Linked DNA regions of Pelodiscus sinensis. The protein of the gene in region 1 interacts with the protein of each later gene in a pairwise test. Links are inferred from orthologs where the notes say so. Each region holds a gene or a part of one and is shown on either strand. Other genes may lie near its edges.

What was found. The genes of interacting proteins can lie anywhere in the genome.
Region 2: the proteins of PPP1R16A (region 1) and TPP2 interact in binary tests that used the Homo sapiens proteins (3 or more experiments, as listed by UniProt). The two-hybrid records come from large-scale screens. The link is inferred for Pelodiscus sinensis from reciprocal best matches to the Homo sapiens genes PPP1R16A and TPP2.

What each region holds. Positions count from the first base shown.
Region 1 is NC_134712.1:1,125,495-1,132,456, forward strand, and holds the start of PPP1R16A (protein phosphatase 1 regulatory subunit 16A), read left to right. Parts: upstream 1-3,889; 5' UTR 3,890-4,006; intron 4,007-6,962. Other genes in the region: uncharacterized protein LOC142826897, read right to left, coding at 1-66. UniProt on the Homo sapiens protein: Inhibits protein phosphatase 1 activity toward phosphorylase, myosin light chain and myosin substrates.
Region 2 is NC_134711.1:245,943,025-245,951,067, reverse strand, and holds the start of TPP2 (tripeptidyl-peptidase 2), read left to right. Parts: upstream 1-5,013; 5' UTR 5,014-5,023; coding exon 5,024-5,287; intron 5,288-8,043. UniProt on the Homo sapiens protein: Cytosolic tripeptidyl-peptidase that releases N-terminal tripeptides from polypeptides and is a component of the proteolytic cascade acting downstream of the 26S proteasome in the ubiquitin-proteasome pathway.

The DNA.
Region 1 (6,962 bases):
GCCACAGGGCCCTCCTTTCCCGCAGGCGTGGGGGGCTGTGCCCCACGCTGGCCCTGCCTGGGCCATGGCCGGGGCTCCGGCAGGCCGTGGGGAAAGGCGGAGCCTGGAGCCTGTGCTGGGGGATGTCTCTGGACCCAGCTCCAGGGGCTGTGAAGTCTCCCCATTGTGATGTCAGCAGAACGCCCCTGCGAGACTCAGCCTGCAAAGCATGCTGGGGGCTGAACGCCAGCTGCGCTGCCTAACGGAGCCGGGAGCCTTCGGCACCGTGGAGAGTTGGCTCCCGAAGGCTTCGCGGCGTCAGGCTGGAAGGGGAGACCCCCTGGGGAAGCCGCGGGGGCTGCTGTCCTGAGCCAGCGAAGCGCCGACAGGCGGGCCCGAACCGGGCACCTCCGGAGCTCAGGGCAGGAGGCGCTACAGCTTGGGCTAAAAGCCAGCTGGCGCTCAGCTTAGGCGGTAGGGCAGGGGTGGGCAAGACAGCTTCCAGGGGCCGGACTCACCCGGCCTGCAGCTGCCTTGCCACTCCCCCCCCCCCCGGCCAATCGAGACCTGGGGATGGGGGAGCATGAGAAGTGTCCTGGCTCCGCCCTTTCTGTCTGAGGCCCCGCCCCTTCCAGGGCGGCCGACTGTAACAATTTGCGAAGTGGCTGCTCTTGAAAAATGCTTGCCCATCCCGGCTGCAGAGCCAGCTCATTCTCTCTCTGGAAATGGCCTGCGTGCCACCCCCGGGGACGGTGCCCCACCCCCATCAGGAGCCAGGGCTGCAGGACGGGGTGGGGGGAGGCTGCCTCGCCTTGCCGTCAGGGCCCACCCAAGCCCCAGCACAGATCGAGGGGTGCATGACCCGGGAGGGGAGGCTGCCTTGCTGTCAAGGCCAACTCCAAAGCCCCAGGACAGGAGGGTGCCAGGCTGCAGGCATCAGCGAGGTCGCCCAGAAGGGGGCGCTTTCCCTGGTGAATTTGCACGGATCCTAGTGCCTTCTTCACAGCTACAATCGGGAGCTGCCTCGGAAGCCCTGGCACGGCTCAGGGGACTCTCGATGTTCTTCTGGCCTGCTGTGCGGCGAGGCCCAGGCCTGCTCCCTGGCACCCCGTGTCCTAGGGAGGTGAGCTGCTAACCCTGGCTGCAGTGAGACACCGGTGCGGCCTCGGGGCGCTGGGCCGGCCAGCGTGCTTGGGAACGGCTTTCACAAAGCCCGGCTCGGGGACACTGGCAGGAAATGAACGGGTGAACTCGGGCAGCCGCATCAGCTCCCCTGGCCCTTCCCGGCCTGCCTCAGCCTTCCCCGCCTGGCCCGCCGCTGCCTCTCCCGGCTTTTCCTTGCTGCCCTTTCCCTTCTTGTCTCCTTTCCCCTCTGCTTTTGGGGTTCCCCCCCCCATGCCTCTTCTCCTTTTTCTGTCCAGCTCTAGAGCTGTTCCTGCTTGTCCTTCTCTGCTGCGTGTCTGTGGCTGGCTACCTGCGCTTTGGGCCACCGGTCCCCATGGCCTGCCAGCCTGCTGGAGAGCTACTCCCTGGCTATGTCTAGACTGGCATGATTTTCCGGAAATGCTTTTAACGGAAAAGTTTTCCGTTAAAAGCATTTTTGGAACAGAGCGTCTAGATTGGCACGGACGCTTTTCCGCAAAAGCACTTTTTGCGGAAAAGTGTCCGTGGCCAATCTAGACGCGCTTTTCTGCAAAAAAGCCCCGATCGCCATTTTCGCAATCGGGGCTTTTTTGCAGAAAACAAATCTGAGCTGTCTACACTGGCCCTTTTGCGCAAAAGTTTTGTGCAAAAGGGACTTTTGCCCGAATGGGAGCAGCATAGTATTCCCGCAAGAAGCACTGATTTCTTACCGTAGGAAGTCAGTGATTTTGCGGAAATTCAAGCGGCCAGTGTAGACAGCTGGCAAGTTTTTCCGGAAAAGCGGCTGATTTTCCAGAAAAACTGGCCAGTCTAGAGACAGCCCCTGTGTGAGCCCAGGAATGCTGCAGGGAGCAGCGTTATGTAGCCCCAGTGGGGTGGGGGGGTAGAATATGGGTCAGGAGCCAGCAGTCATACCCTGCTGTCGGGGCCCCCGCCTTTGGAAATCTCTTGGCTAGAGCATACAGCGCTCAGGGAGACTGGCTAGGCTAGGGCAGCTGTCCGAAGCAAAGGATAGAGACACAGCAGCCGCCAGCCCTAAGGCCGGCGAGCGTAGCTCCTGCGCGGCAGGGAAACCCTTCACCCTCCAGGCAGCCGCAGAGGGAAGCCACCAAGGGACAGGGTGGAAATGTCATGGCACTGAGGGGCTGGGATGGGGGAGGAGGTCTGGTGACTTGGGCTAGGATCCAGGAGGTTCCCTTCAAATGCAGCTGCCTGCGAAAGGAATTTGAGGGGGCAACCGAGTGAGTCTGTGGCAGAAAAAGCAGCGAATGGTCTGGTAGCACTTTGACTAAGGAAACATGTCGATAAAACAAAAGGAGAAACTGGGCAGCACTTTAGAGACTAACAAGATGGTTTATTAGGGGATGAGCGTTCGTGGGCCAGCCCCACTTCCTCAGATCAAATTCTGGACGAGAATTGGCAGGACCACGTATACCAAAGGATACAATGGAAAAGTGAACCCGTTGTTAAACTGACAGATCAGATTTAGTCCGGAAGGTGGGGTGAGAGGGCGGGAGGGACCAGCTAGCTGAGTCACTGGCTCATCGGGGGGGGGGGGGGGGAGAGAGTGGGGAGCGATCTTCCTAATGGCTACGGCAATTAGCATCTTCTACCAGCCCATCTGCTGGGCCGATCGCTCAGCTGCCTGTGGGGTGGGACTAGCCCCCGCCCCCGCCAGCCCCCTTCTCCTCTGGGGCTCCTATTGCGCTAGGGCTTGGTCCCAAGTGTCAGGAAGGGGGGAAGGGACCTTCCAGGGAGGCAGGCGGCATTGGCACTGCGGGCACAGCCTGAGCTGGGGGGGAGACCGGCCTGGGCAGCCTGGAGCAGCCCGCTGGACAGCAGGGCCCAAGGGGGAGGGGCCCAGCTGGGCGGAGCTAGGGACCGGCCAGGCCCTCGCGGGGGGAGGGGCCCAGCTGGGCGGAGCTAGGGACCGGCCAGGCCCTCGCGGGGGGGAGGGGCCCAGCTGGGCGGAGCTAGGGACCGGTCAGGCCCTCGCAGGGGGAGGGGCCCAGCTGGGCGGAGCTAGGGACCGGCCACGCCCTCGCGGGGGGGAGGGGCCCAGCTGGGCGGAGCTAGGGACCGGTCAGGCCCTCGCGGGGGGGAGGGGCCCAGCTGGGCGGAGCTAGGGACCGGCCAGGCCCTCGCGGGGGGAGGGGCCCAGCTGGACGGAGTTAGGGACCGGCCAGGCCCTCGCGGGGGGGAGGGGCCCAGCTGGGCGGAGTTAGGGACCGGCCACGCCCTCGCGGGGGGAGGGGCCCAGATGGGCGGAGCTAGGGACCGGCCAGGCCCTCGCGGGGGGAGGGGCCCAGCTGGGCGGAGTTAGGGACCGGCCACGCCCTCGCGGGGGAGGGGCCCAGCTGGGCGGAGCTAGGGACCGGCCAGGCCCTCGCGGGGGGAGGGGCCCAGCTGGGCGGAGCTAGGGACCGGCCAGGCCCTCGCGGGGGGAGGGGCCCAGCTGGGCGGAGCTAGGGACCGGCCAGGCCCTCGCGGGGGGAGGGGCCCAGCTGGGCGGAGCTAAGGACCGGCCACGCCCTCGCGGGGGGAGGGGCCCAGACGGGCGGAGCTAGGGACCGGCCACGCCCTCGCGGGGGGAGGGGCCCAGCTGGGCGGAGCTAGGGACCGGCCACGCCCTCGCGGGGGGAGGGGCCCTGGCCAGGATCCCGGGGCATGCGGGTCCCATTGCCTCTCAGGCCCCGCCCCCTCGCCGCGCGCCCGTGGCCCCGCCCACCTCCGCTCGCTCGCGCCGGCGGCCGCGCCGAGCCGGCCACTTCCGGCGGGAGCGCCGCCCCTAGCGGAAGTGTGGCTGGTTGCTATGGCGAGGCGCCGTGGGGACCCGCCCTTGCGGGACAGAGCCGGAGAGCGGCCCGGCTCCTGCCGACGGCGGGTGAGCGCGGCCGGCTGCGGAGGGGTCACGTGATACGGGGGCTGTGGGGGGACTGGGCCCTGGTGGGGGGGTGCGGAGAGGGTTCTGTGTGGGGGGGACTGAGGGCCCTGGGGGGGCAATGGGGGGGTGGGATTGGGGGTTCTGTGATGGGGAGGTTGTGGGGGGGACTGAGGGCCCTGGTGGGGGCAGTGGGGGATTGGGTGGGATTGGGGGTTCTGTGATGGGGGGCTGTGGGGGGGACTGAGGGCCCTGGTGGGCGCAGTGGGGGATTGGGTGGAATTGGGGGTTCTGTGATGGGGGGCTGTGGGGGGGAGTGAGGGCCCTGGTGGGCGCAGTGGGGGATTGGGTGGGATTGGGGGTTCTGTGATGGGGGGCTGTGGGGGGGAGTGAGGGCCCTGGTGGGCGCAGTGGGGGATTGGGTGGGATTGGGGGTTCTGTGATGGGGGGCTGTGGGGGGGAGTGAGGGCCCTGGTGGGGGCAGTGGGGGGGCGGGATTGGGGGTTCTGTGATGGGGGGCTGTGGGGGGGACTGAGGGCCCTGGTGGGCGCAGTGGGGGATTGGGTGGAATTGGGGGTTCTGTGATGGGGGGCTGTGGGGGGGAGTGAGGGCCCTGGTGGGCGCAGTGGGGGATTGGGTGGGATTGGGGGTTCTGTGATGGGGGGCTGTGGGGGGGACTGAGGGCCCTGGTGGGGGCAGTGGGGGGGCGGGATTGGGGGTTCTGTGATGGGGGGCTGTGGGGGGGACTGAGGGCCCTGGTGGGCGCAGTGGGGGATTGGGTGGAATTGGGGGTTCTGTGATGGGGGGGCTGTGGGGGGGACTGAGGGCTCTGGGGGAGGCAGTGGGGGGGTGGGATTAGAGGTTCTGTGATGGGGGGCTGGGACAACCTATAGACTGGGCAGGTGTCCCGTGTGGCGGGGGCGGGGACACTGTTACCGATGTTTTTAAGTGACGTTGGGAACCCTGGGGGCTCTGTTGTTTCCCTCGTTTCGCTGTCTGCTGACACTTCGGGGGGCAGTGGGGGAGCCCAGTTGGTCTTGAGCCAAGTGAGCGCAGAAGAGAATTCATAGGGGCTGTGAAGGTGGCAGACTATTTCCCTTCCCCGCTTTCCCATATCAGGATTTGAGAGGGGTGTTGCCCAGCTGGTGAAACTTCAGCTGGAGCAGAGACCTGTTGTGCAAATGAGAATGTGGGTAGGGGGTGATGGCTATTCACGTGTTAGTTCACGTTTATGTTCCTGTGGCCCCAGTCTGGATCAGAGCCCCATTGTGCGGGGTGCCGTGTAAACATGTAAATGAGGTCCTTGCCTACAGTCTAATCAAATGTCCTACAGAAAGGGATGGACATGCAACATGTAAGAGAGACACGGAACTTGGTCAGCCATTGATTTTCTCAGCTTTGTTCTTTTGTCCAGGTACTTCACTCCGCTTGCGTTAGCAAGTGTGGTCGCAGTGTCTAATTTCACTCTGCCCTTCCTGTTCTCTTGGAGCTCCAACACTTGTGTGTCATTTCAGTGCCTTTTGCGGTATTTTTCTTGCACCTTCTAACCAGCACCCTTTCCTTTCCTGATCAGAATGAAAGGCCTGCAGCCATGTTTTTCTAGTCCAGTCCAGTTAATTGCTATGATTCAGAGGGGACTCTAATGGCCGGTTCCCTCCCTGCCCCACTGCTGATGCTTCCGTGGAATGGACTGGATTAGAGATGTAACAGTGTAGTCGATTAACTATAAGCAAAAGCGTATCGGTTAACGCTATAAACTACACACGTTTCCCAGCCCCTCTTGCCAGTAAATTTTTTAGCAGGCTGGCCAGCAGGCCAGCTCAGTCCTGCTTCTCGTTGGATCCGGGACCTACCCCCGCTGTGGCTCTGCATTTAAAGTGTATTAGGAGCCAGGTGGGCAGGCAGTCCAGCTTGTGCTGTGTTCAGGAGCTCAGCCCCACCCCTGGACAGGGGCTGCTGTCATCCCGGGCTGCTGCCTCTGTGACAGGCAGCCGGTCTGCGAGGGGAGCTGGTTTTTCAACTGCCTCCCCTCATAGACCAGCTCCTGCCTGACACCCTGCACTGCTGCCTCTATTATATTAAATATTATAGAGGCAGCAGCGCCGAGTGGCAGGAGGCTCCTCAGGTGTGGGGCTGGAGTGCACTGCCTGCTGGCCCCACCCTCGGGGTCCAGTGTTTTTGTGATGGTACTGCCAGGTACTCAGTACCGGCACTTCCAGACGCAGTACCGGCATTTCCAGATGTAGTACCCGCACCTCCAGTCAGAGCTCAACAACTTTTCCCCTGGAGTACTGGCACTTTTTTTTTTTTTTTTAACAAAGCACTGCAAGGGTCTATAGAATAATCGAGTAACTGATAAGAATTCATGAGGTTACTTGACTATTCAATTAACGAGTATTTAACATCCCTAGATTGGATCAGATCACTGGTCAGAATCTTGTCTCTTAAAGTGGCCAACACCAGATGCTAAAGAGGAAGGTTTAAGAAATCCCAGAGCAAGAAGATACGGGTTAATCTGCTCCTTGTGAAGGTCTTATCCAAATCACTAATAGTTGGAGATTAAGAATCATAGAACCATAGAATACTAGGACTGGAAGGGACCTTGAGAGGTCATTGAGTCCAGTCCCCTGCCCTCACGGCAGGACCCAGTACTGTCTAGACCAGTGGTCCCCAACGCGGTGCCTGCGGGCACCATGGCGCCCGCCGGGGCATTTGTAGGCGCCCGCCGACAACCCGGGCTGGCCCCGCCCCCGGTGCACTGGAGGCGCCGGCCCCAGGCACGCGACACTCACCGGCGCCTGGTGCGCGGCGCTCGGGCGGCCCCAGCCCCGGGGCACATGCGGGCGTGCGGCGCCGGTGCCGGCCCCAGGCACGCAGCTCGGGCGGCGGCGCCAGCCCCGGGCCCACGGCACAAGGGGCTCGGGCGGCCCCGGCCCTGGCGTGCCCCAGGACGCGCGGC
Region 2 (8,043 bases), on another chromosome or scaffold:
GGGGTAGTGTAGACATACCCTGATTGCTGCAGCTAAGGCGCTCTGGCTGGAGGTCCTTCTCTTTCACTGGCCAGCCCAGACTGCCAGCAAAAGAGAAGGACCTTTTGCTTTTTATACTGCCCCAGAACTTGGAGCATGACAATATAATGACAGGCTGCTCTATGCAAACAGGAAACAGTTCTCATTTTTTGAAGCAAAAGCCAATTTTTACAAAGGTAACAATACTTGTAGGCTACGTCTACACTGGCCCCTTTTCCGAAAGGGGCATGCTAATTTTAAACTTTGTAATAGGAAAATCCGCGGGGGATTTAAATATCCCCCGCGGGATTTAAATAAAGATGTCCGCCGCTTTTTTCCGGCTTGTAGAAAAGCCGGAAAAGAGTGTCTAGACTGGCCCGATCCTCCGGAATAAAGCCCTATTCCCCCGCGGATTTCCCTATTACGAAGTTTAAAATTAGCATGCCCCTTTCGGAAAAGGGGCCAGTGTAGACGTAGCCGTAGAGTTGCCATCTTACCAGGATTGTCCGGGAGTCTCCAATAATTAAAGATTACTCTTTACTAAAATATTATGTCACATGATGACACCTCCAGAGATATCTCCAATCAGAAATAGCGACTCTAGCCCCTCGGTGCGTCCATAAGAACAACCATCCAGGATCACACCAATGGTGCATCTCAGATAGAATCCAACAGTGTCCAATGGTAGGTGCCTCAGAGGGAATGAACAAACATGTAAACATCGAGTGATCCATCTTCTACTACTCAATCCCAATTTCTGGCAGACAAAGGCTTGGGGCAGCCAGAACACAAGGTTGCATGTCTGATCATCTTCACTAATAGCCAACAATGGACCTATCCTCCGTGAACTTATTTAATTCTTTTTTGAACCCTGTTATAGTTTTGGCCTTCACAGAATTCTCTGGTAAAAAAAATTACAGGTTGATTGTGCCTTGTGTGAAGAAGTACTTCCTTATGTTTTTTTTAAATGTGCTCCCTATTAATTTAATTGGGTGACCTCTTATTCTTGTGTTACGTGAAGGAGTAAATAACATGTTTTTATTCACTTTGTTCACACCACTCAGGATTTACATACCTCTCTCTTATCTGCCTGTAATCATCCATTTTCAAAACTGAAAAATCCCAGGCTTTTGAAATCTCTTCTTACATGGAAGCTGTTCCAGACCTTTAATCATATTCATTGCCCTTCTCTCCACCTTTTGAATCCTAATATACATTTTTTTGAGATGCACACAATTTTCAGTGTGTGTTCATGGCATGAATTAATACATTATGGTATTTTCTCTTATTATCTATCCCTTTCCTAATGGCTTCTGTCAGGCTGCTATGGTTTTTACTGTCACTGCACACTGAGCAGATGTTTTCAGAGAACTATCCACACTTACCCAAGATCTCTATCCTGAGTGGTAATAACTGCTATATACCCCATCATTACGTATATATTGTTGGGATTATGTCTTCCGATGTACATTACTTTGCATTGACCGACATTGAATTTTATCTGCCACTTTGATGCTGTGAACTTAACTATCTGTGTGCACATAAGAACATAAGAACGGCCATAATGGATCAGATCAAAGGTCCATCTAGCCCCGTATCCTGTCACCTGGCCAATGCCAGATGGGAGGGATCACAATAGGTAATCCTCACGTGATCTCCTCCCTGTCACCCACCTCCAGTGAAACAGAGGCACAGGATACCATTCCTTCCCATCTTGGCTAATAGCCATTAATGAACCCTAACCTCCATGAATCTATCTAGCTCTTTTTTGAACCCTTTTAAAGTTCTAGCCTTTCACCGCATCCTCTGGCAAGGAGTTCCATAGGTTGACTGTGCGCTGAGTAAAGAAAAACTTTCTTTTCTTTGTTTTAATCCTGCTGCCTATTAATTTCATTTGGTAAACCCTAGTTATTACATTGTGGGAATAAGTAAATAACTTTTCTTTATTCACTTTTTCCATATCCGTCATAATTGTATAGACCTCTATCATATCCCCCCTTAATCTCCTCTTTTCTAAGATGAAAAGTCCAAGTCTTTTTAGTCTCTCTTCATGTGAGACTTATTCCAAACCCCTAATAATTTTTGTTGCCCTTTTCTGAACCTTTTCCAATGACAATATATCTTTTTTAAGATGAGGCGACCACATCTGTACGCTGTATTCAAGATGTGGGTATATCATGGTTTTATATAGAGGCAATAAGATATTTTCTGTCTTATTATCTATCCCTTTTTTAACGACTCCTAACATTGTTTGCTTTTTTGACTGCTGCTGCACACTGAGTGGATGTTTTCAGAGAACTATCCACAATGACTCCAAGATTTCTCGCTTGAGTAGTTGTAGCCAAATTAGTCCGCATCATATTGTATATAGAGTTGGGATTATTTTTCCAATGTACATTACTTTATATTTATCAACATTAAATTTCATTTGCCATTTTGTTGCCCAATCACTTAGATTGGTGAGATCATTTTGAAACTCTTCACAGTCTGCTTTGGTCTTAACTATCTTGAGTAGTTTGCTATCATCTGCAAATTTTGCCACCTCACTGTTTATCCCTTTCTCTAGATCATTTGTAAATAAGTTGACTAGGCTAGATCCCATGATAGGCCCTTCGGGGACCCCACTAGTTACCTTTTTCCACTCGAAAAACTTACCATTTATTCCTACCCTTTGTTTCCTGTCTTTTAACCAGTTACAAATCCATGAAAGGACCTTCTTTCTTATCCCATGTCAACTTACTTTACTTAAGAGCCTTTGGTGAGAGACCTTGTCAAAGGCTTTCTGGAAATCTAAGTATACTATATCCATTAGGTCCCCCTTGTCCACATGTTTGTTGATCCCCTCAAAGAACTCTAGCAGATTAGTATGGCATGATTTCCCTTTACAGAAACCATGTTGACTTTCCCCCAACAAATTATGTTCATCTATGTGTCTGACAATTTTATTCTTTACTATAGTTTCAACTAATTTTCCAAGTACTGATGCTAGATTTACCAGTCTGTAATTGCCAGGATTATCTCTAAAGCTCTTTTTAAATATTGGCGTCACGGTAGCTATCTTCCAGTTATTAGGTACGAAAGCTTATTTAAAGGATAGTTTACAAATCACAGTTAATAGTTGTGCAATTTCCCATCTGAGTTCTTTAAGAACTCTTGGGTGAATGCCATCTGGTCCCAGTGACTTATTACTGTTAAGTTTATCAGTTTGTTCCAAAACCTCCTCTAATGACACCTCAATCTGGGACAATTCCTCAAATTTTCACCTAAAAAGAATGGCTCAGGTTTGGGATCTCCCAGCTGTGAAGACTGAAGCAAAGAATTCATTTAGCTTCTCTGCTATGACTTTATAATCTTTGAGTGCTCCTTTAGCATCTTGATTGTCCAAGGGTCCCATTGGTTGTTTATCCAGCTTCCTGCTTCTGATGTACTTAGGGTTGTGCGCTGTGCATGAAGAGGGCACCTAGGCCCATTTCCAGTGGGCACAAGGCAAGGTGCCTGCACCAGATGTGGTCGGCATGTGCTATTTCTGAACATGATTGCGCAGGCTAAGATTGACAACTTTCTAATAACAGAAAAGCAAATGCCCTGCCCCAGCCATACTCACTCCATTCCCTCTCCTTCTGTCATTCTCTCTCCCCCACCCTCACGTCTTTTCACTGGGCTGGGGCAAGGGTTGTGATGTGTGTGGGGGTGATGGCCTCAAGTGGGCTCTGGGTGCATGGGATGTGGGATGAAGGCTCCAGGTAGGAATTTAGGTGTAGTATCTGGGAGGGAATTTGGGTATAGGAGGGGACTCCAGGCTGGGACACAATGTTGAGGAGAAGGAAGCCAGTCTTTGCTTATCAAAGCTTGCAGGAAGCAACAACCAGGTCCCTCCAGCTCCTAGGCATAAGGCAGCCAGGGAAGCACCATATACTGCTTTTGTACCCACAGGCACCTCTCCCAGACCTCCCACTGGCCATGGTTCCTGGCCAATAGCAGCTGTGGAACTGGCACTTGGGAATGGGGCAACTCCTGAAGCTTCCAAGTTCCTGGCTGACCCAGCAACTAGAGGGTGCTGGGATCTGGTGGCGACTTCTGGGAGCAGGCCAGAGCTGAAGCAGCCTGCAATAGCCCTGGACTTCTGGTCAGCACCAGGTCCCCTTTCAGACAGGATGCTCCAGTTGAAAACCATGTGACAATCCCACACTAGGCTCGTCCCTGCTTAGCCCAGCACCTGCACCTGCATCTCTGGGCTGGCTACTTCCTTCCCCAGCTCTGTGATTGCAGCAGGGTCTGATCCTGTGCTGGGACCCACGAAGTGTCTGTTCTTAGGGTGAACGCATTACAGAGACACGGCACAGCGATCAGGGATGGTCTGGACAGCGCTTGGTCCTGCTGTAGGGGTGGCGGGGGGGCTGGACTCAATGCTCCCCAGAGGGCCCTTCCAGTTCTAGAATAGTGCTAGAAATGTAGCCCTGTTAGTCTGGTGCAGCTGAAACAAACACCAGGACTGTGTAGCTCTTTAAAGACTAGCAAGATGGTTTAATAGGGAATGAGCTTTCGTGGGCCAGACCCACTGAGGAAGTGGGTCTGGCCCACGAAAGCTCATTCCCTATTAAACCATCTTGTTAGTCTTTAAAGTGCTACACAGTCCTGGGTTTTTTTCCTTCCAGTTCTAGGATTCCATGGTTCTGTGACATGCAGCTGTCAGGAAGGCGCGGAAGCACCATTCAAAGAGGAGGGGGGGGATAATGACCAGAGGAGGAGGCTTGGGGGTGAAGTAGAGTGGTAAATAGGTGCCTGTCTCTTTAAGACGGGACGATTCCGTGCAGGTTTCCTTTACGGCACTCCGGCGCGTGTCCCGTCGTCTTATTGGCTGACTAGGCGCATTCGCCCTTTCCAGGGCGGGAGCGCGCCTGCGCGCGCAAGAGCGTTTCGCCCTCCAATTGGCGGGTGGCGCCTGTGCGTCCGTGGCGCTCTAGAAAGCGCGGGCAGGCCGCCCGCCGATTGGCTGGGTGAGCGCATGCGCCACTTCCGCCCCTTCCTCCCCCACTCGCGTCACTTGGTGCGTCCCAGGCGCCGCTGCCGGGGCTGGTCCGTGCGCGTCTCTCTGTCCCCTGCCATCATGGCGGCCGCCGCGGAGGAGCCGTTCCCCTTCCACGGGCTCCTGCCGAAGAAAGAGACGGGCGCCGCCGCCTTCCTCGGCCGCTACCCGGAGTACGACGGGCGCGGGGTGCTGCTGGCCGTGCTGGACACCGGCGTGGATCCCGGCGCGCCCGGCATGCAGGTACCGGCCGGCCTGCTCCGCGGGTGCCGACCCGCCGCGCGGGAGCTAGATAGTGCGCGGTGGGGGGCGTCCAGCAGCCGAGGCCTGCGGGGCGGGGGGTTGAGCTGAGCGGGGCCGGAGCAGCCCGGGACTGGCGGGGAGACGGCGCCGGGCGGAGGAGGAAGGGGAGGGGCGGGAGGCGTCGCGGGGACCTGGCCGATTTGGGTGCTGGGGGCTCGTGGAGGCAGGCGGGCGGGGCAGAAGAGGGCCCCGAGAGAGACGGGCGGGTTTGAGCCCCCAGTGATGCTGGTTGTGGTTTTACTGGGGTGCTCCACTGCAGCCCAGGGGAGCTGCTTTCCTTGGGATATTGTCGTGCTCTCCACACCGAGGTGTGGCTTACTGCATAGAGCTAGCCCGTGGGCAGTGGGGCTGGAACCCAGGACCTCTGGATTTGACACTTACACGACTATTCAGTTCCATGCTATCTAACATCTCTAGTGCATGTTCAGAAGAGCTTCATCTGCCAAGAGAAAGTGCCATAAGAGCATTGCTATTCAAATTCTTGTACTGACTATTTCTTGCAATGTAACTTGTTTTGTGGAGGGAATAAGTATGGTGCACATTTTCATCTTTTCTTTCTGAATGCTTTTTTTTTTTTTTTTTTTTTTTTTTTAATCTCACTGGAAAACTTGACTTGGCTTCCAGTTGTTTTGCTATAGGTGGAAACCTGTTTCTAACATAAACCTTGTCTAGCCAAGAGGTCTGCAGTTTGTGGCTCTTCTGTTGTGAGTAGAAACTTGTACCTATAGCGTAGATGGGCAACAATTTTTGATGGGAGGACCACTCTTGGTAAGTGGTCAAGGATTGGGGTCTAAGTGACTAGTCAACTTTCCAATACGCATAGGCTTATTGGATAGTCAAGTAGTAACTCGACTAGTCTGTCAGAGAGGCAGTAAGGGAGGAAGCAGGAGCTGGTGCTGGTGGGGAGATACCTTAAATTTGCTGCCCCCAGCACTGTGTCTGGGGGTAGAGGGGGTAGGGGTGCAGCAGGCACTGAAGCAGTCCTCTCTCTTGTTGGTTCCTACTGCGGTGCTTCAGCCTTTAAAATGTACAAGAGTCCTTTGGGGCTCTTGTACGTTTCAAAAGCAGAAGCGCTGCAGGGAGCATGAGGATAGCATGGACTACTTAAGTCCCTGCTGCCTCCGTGCTCCCTATGGCACCTCCCCTCTTTTGCTGCCTTGAAGAGAGGCAGCAAGGGGGAGGGGAAGCCAGCTTAAAAGCTGTCTGCTTCCCTCCCACCCCCAGCTCCCTCTGAGGGGATATGGGAGGCTGCTGCGAAGCAGCCCCTGTCTGCAGGGATCCCAATGGGGAGCTCCTTCTCCTTCCTCACCCCCCGCCATGTGGACAGGGGCTGCCGCCGCCAAGTCACCCCTGTTTGCAGCAGCCAGGGCTATCTGCTGCAAACAGGGACTGTTGGACTTGATGCGATCCAGGACAGAGTAGTCCCGACTTGTGATAATTGTGGTGCCTCTGCATTTTAAATGTAGTAAGAGCTCAGCGGCTCTTACTACATCTAATATACAAAGGAGAATGTTTGTATGCTTGTGCTCTAATAACTTGGACACTATAAGACCTACTGCAACCAAACTTTCCATGGGATAAAACCTTTTCCTGGAGGAAAGGTTAAGGTACTTTTGGACTCGATCGGACCTGGTCTCAACCTGTAAAAATCAAAAATAACCTGCCGTGCTGTGCTGCAGGGGCAGCCCTACCCACCCTAGGTCACGTGTCCGCTGCCTGCGGCCCCAAAGCACCATCCGGGACTCACCCCACCCCCATGCGCATAACGGCTCAGCCATCAACCATGCCCCCTGTGGCTACAGTTACCAGGTAGTCTTTTTATATATATAAAAAAAGCGGCCCCATTTGATGGGGGTGGGTGGGGGGGGGGGGGCTGGGCCTGGTCCTGGCTGGGAGAAAGGGGGGGGGGGCTGGGAAACAGGGCTGGTTTGAGGGTGGTCATGGGCAGCGTGGCTGATCGGGGGAAGGGTGGCTGATGGGAAGCAGAGCTGGTCTGGGGGGGGCGGGGGAGTTCTGGGGCAGCAGGGCTGGCTGGGGGAGATCGGGAGGGGGTGGCCGGTGGAAGGAAGCAGAGTTGGTGGGGTGCAGCGGGGCAGTCCAGGGGAGATCGGGGCGGCGGGAAACAGATCTGGTCGGGGGCAGCGGGGCTGGCTGGGGGATATTGGGGGGGCAGCCGGTGGGAGCGGGGCTGGCTGTGGGAGATCGGGAAGAGGGGAACCAGCCAGCAGGAAGTAGGGCTGGCTGGGGGATAGGGGAGCGAATAAGCCAGTGGGGAGCGGGACACAGCAATGCTGGGTAACTCCAGCTAGTTTACAATACAGAGCTGTAGCGATGGCGACTCCTGGAGCTGCATGAGACAGGACTGCTGAGTCCAATCTCAAGCCAGCTCCTGGATCTACCTTTGCTGCATGCAGCTCTGTAGAGTGGTTCTATCAACTAATCATATAGTCGATACAATTTGTATCGACTATACGATTAGCCTGATAGCAGCCTTTAACATCCTTAGTCAAAGACCACACTTTTCCATGGTGGAGTTGTGGAGTCTGGGACAGAGATTGAGTACAGAAGGTATCTCGGGGTGGAGGACTTGAGTGCAAGAGAGGCTGTGAAATCTGAGAGGGAGCTTCGGTGAAGGAGAGAGTTGTGATTTCGGTCAGGGAATTGGAGCTCAGGGTATGGGAGCAGTAGAGGATTCT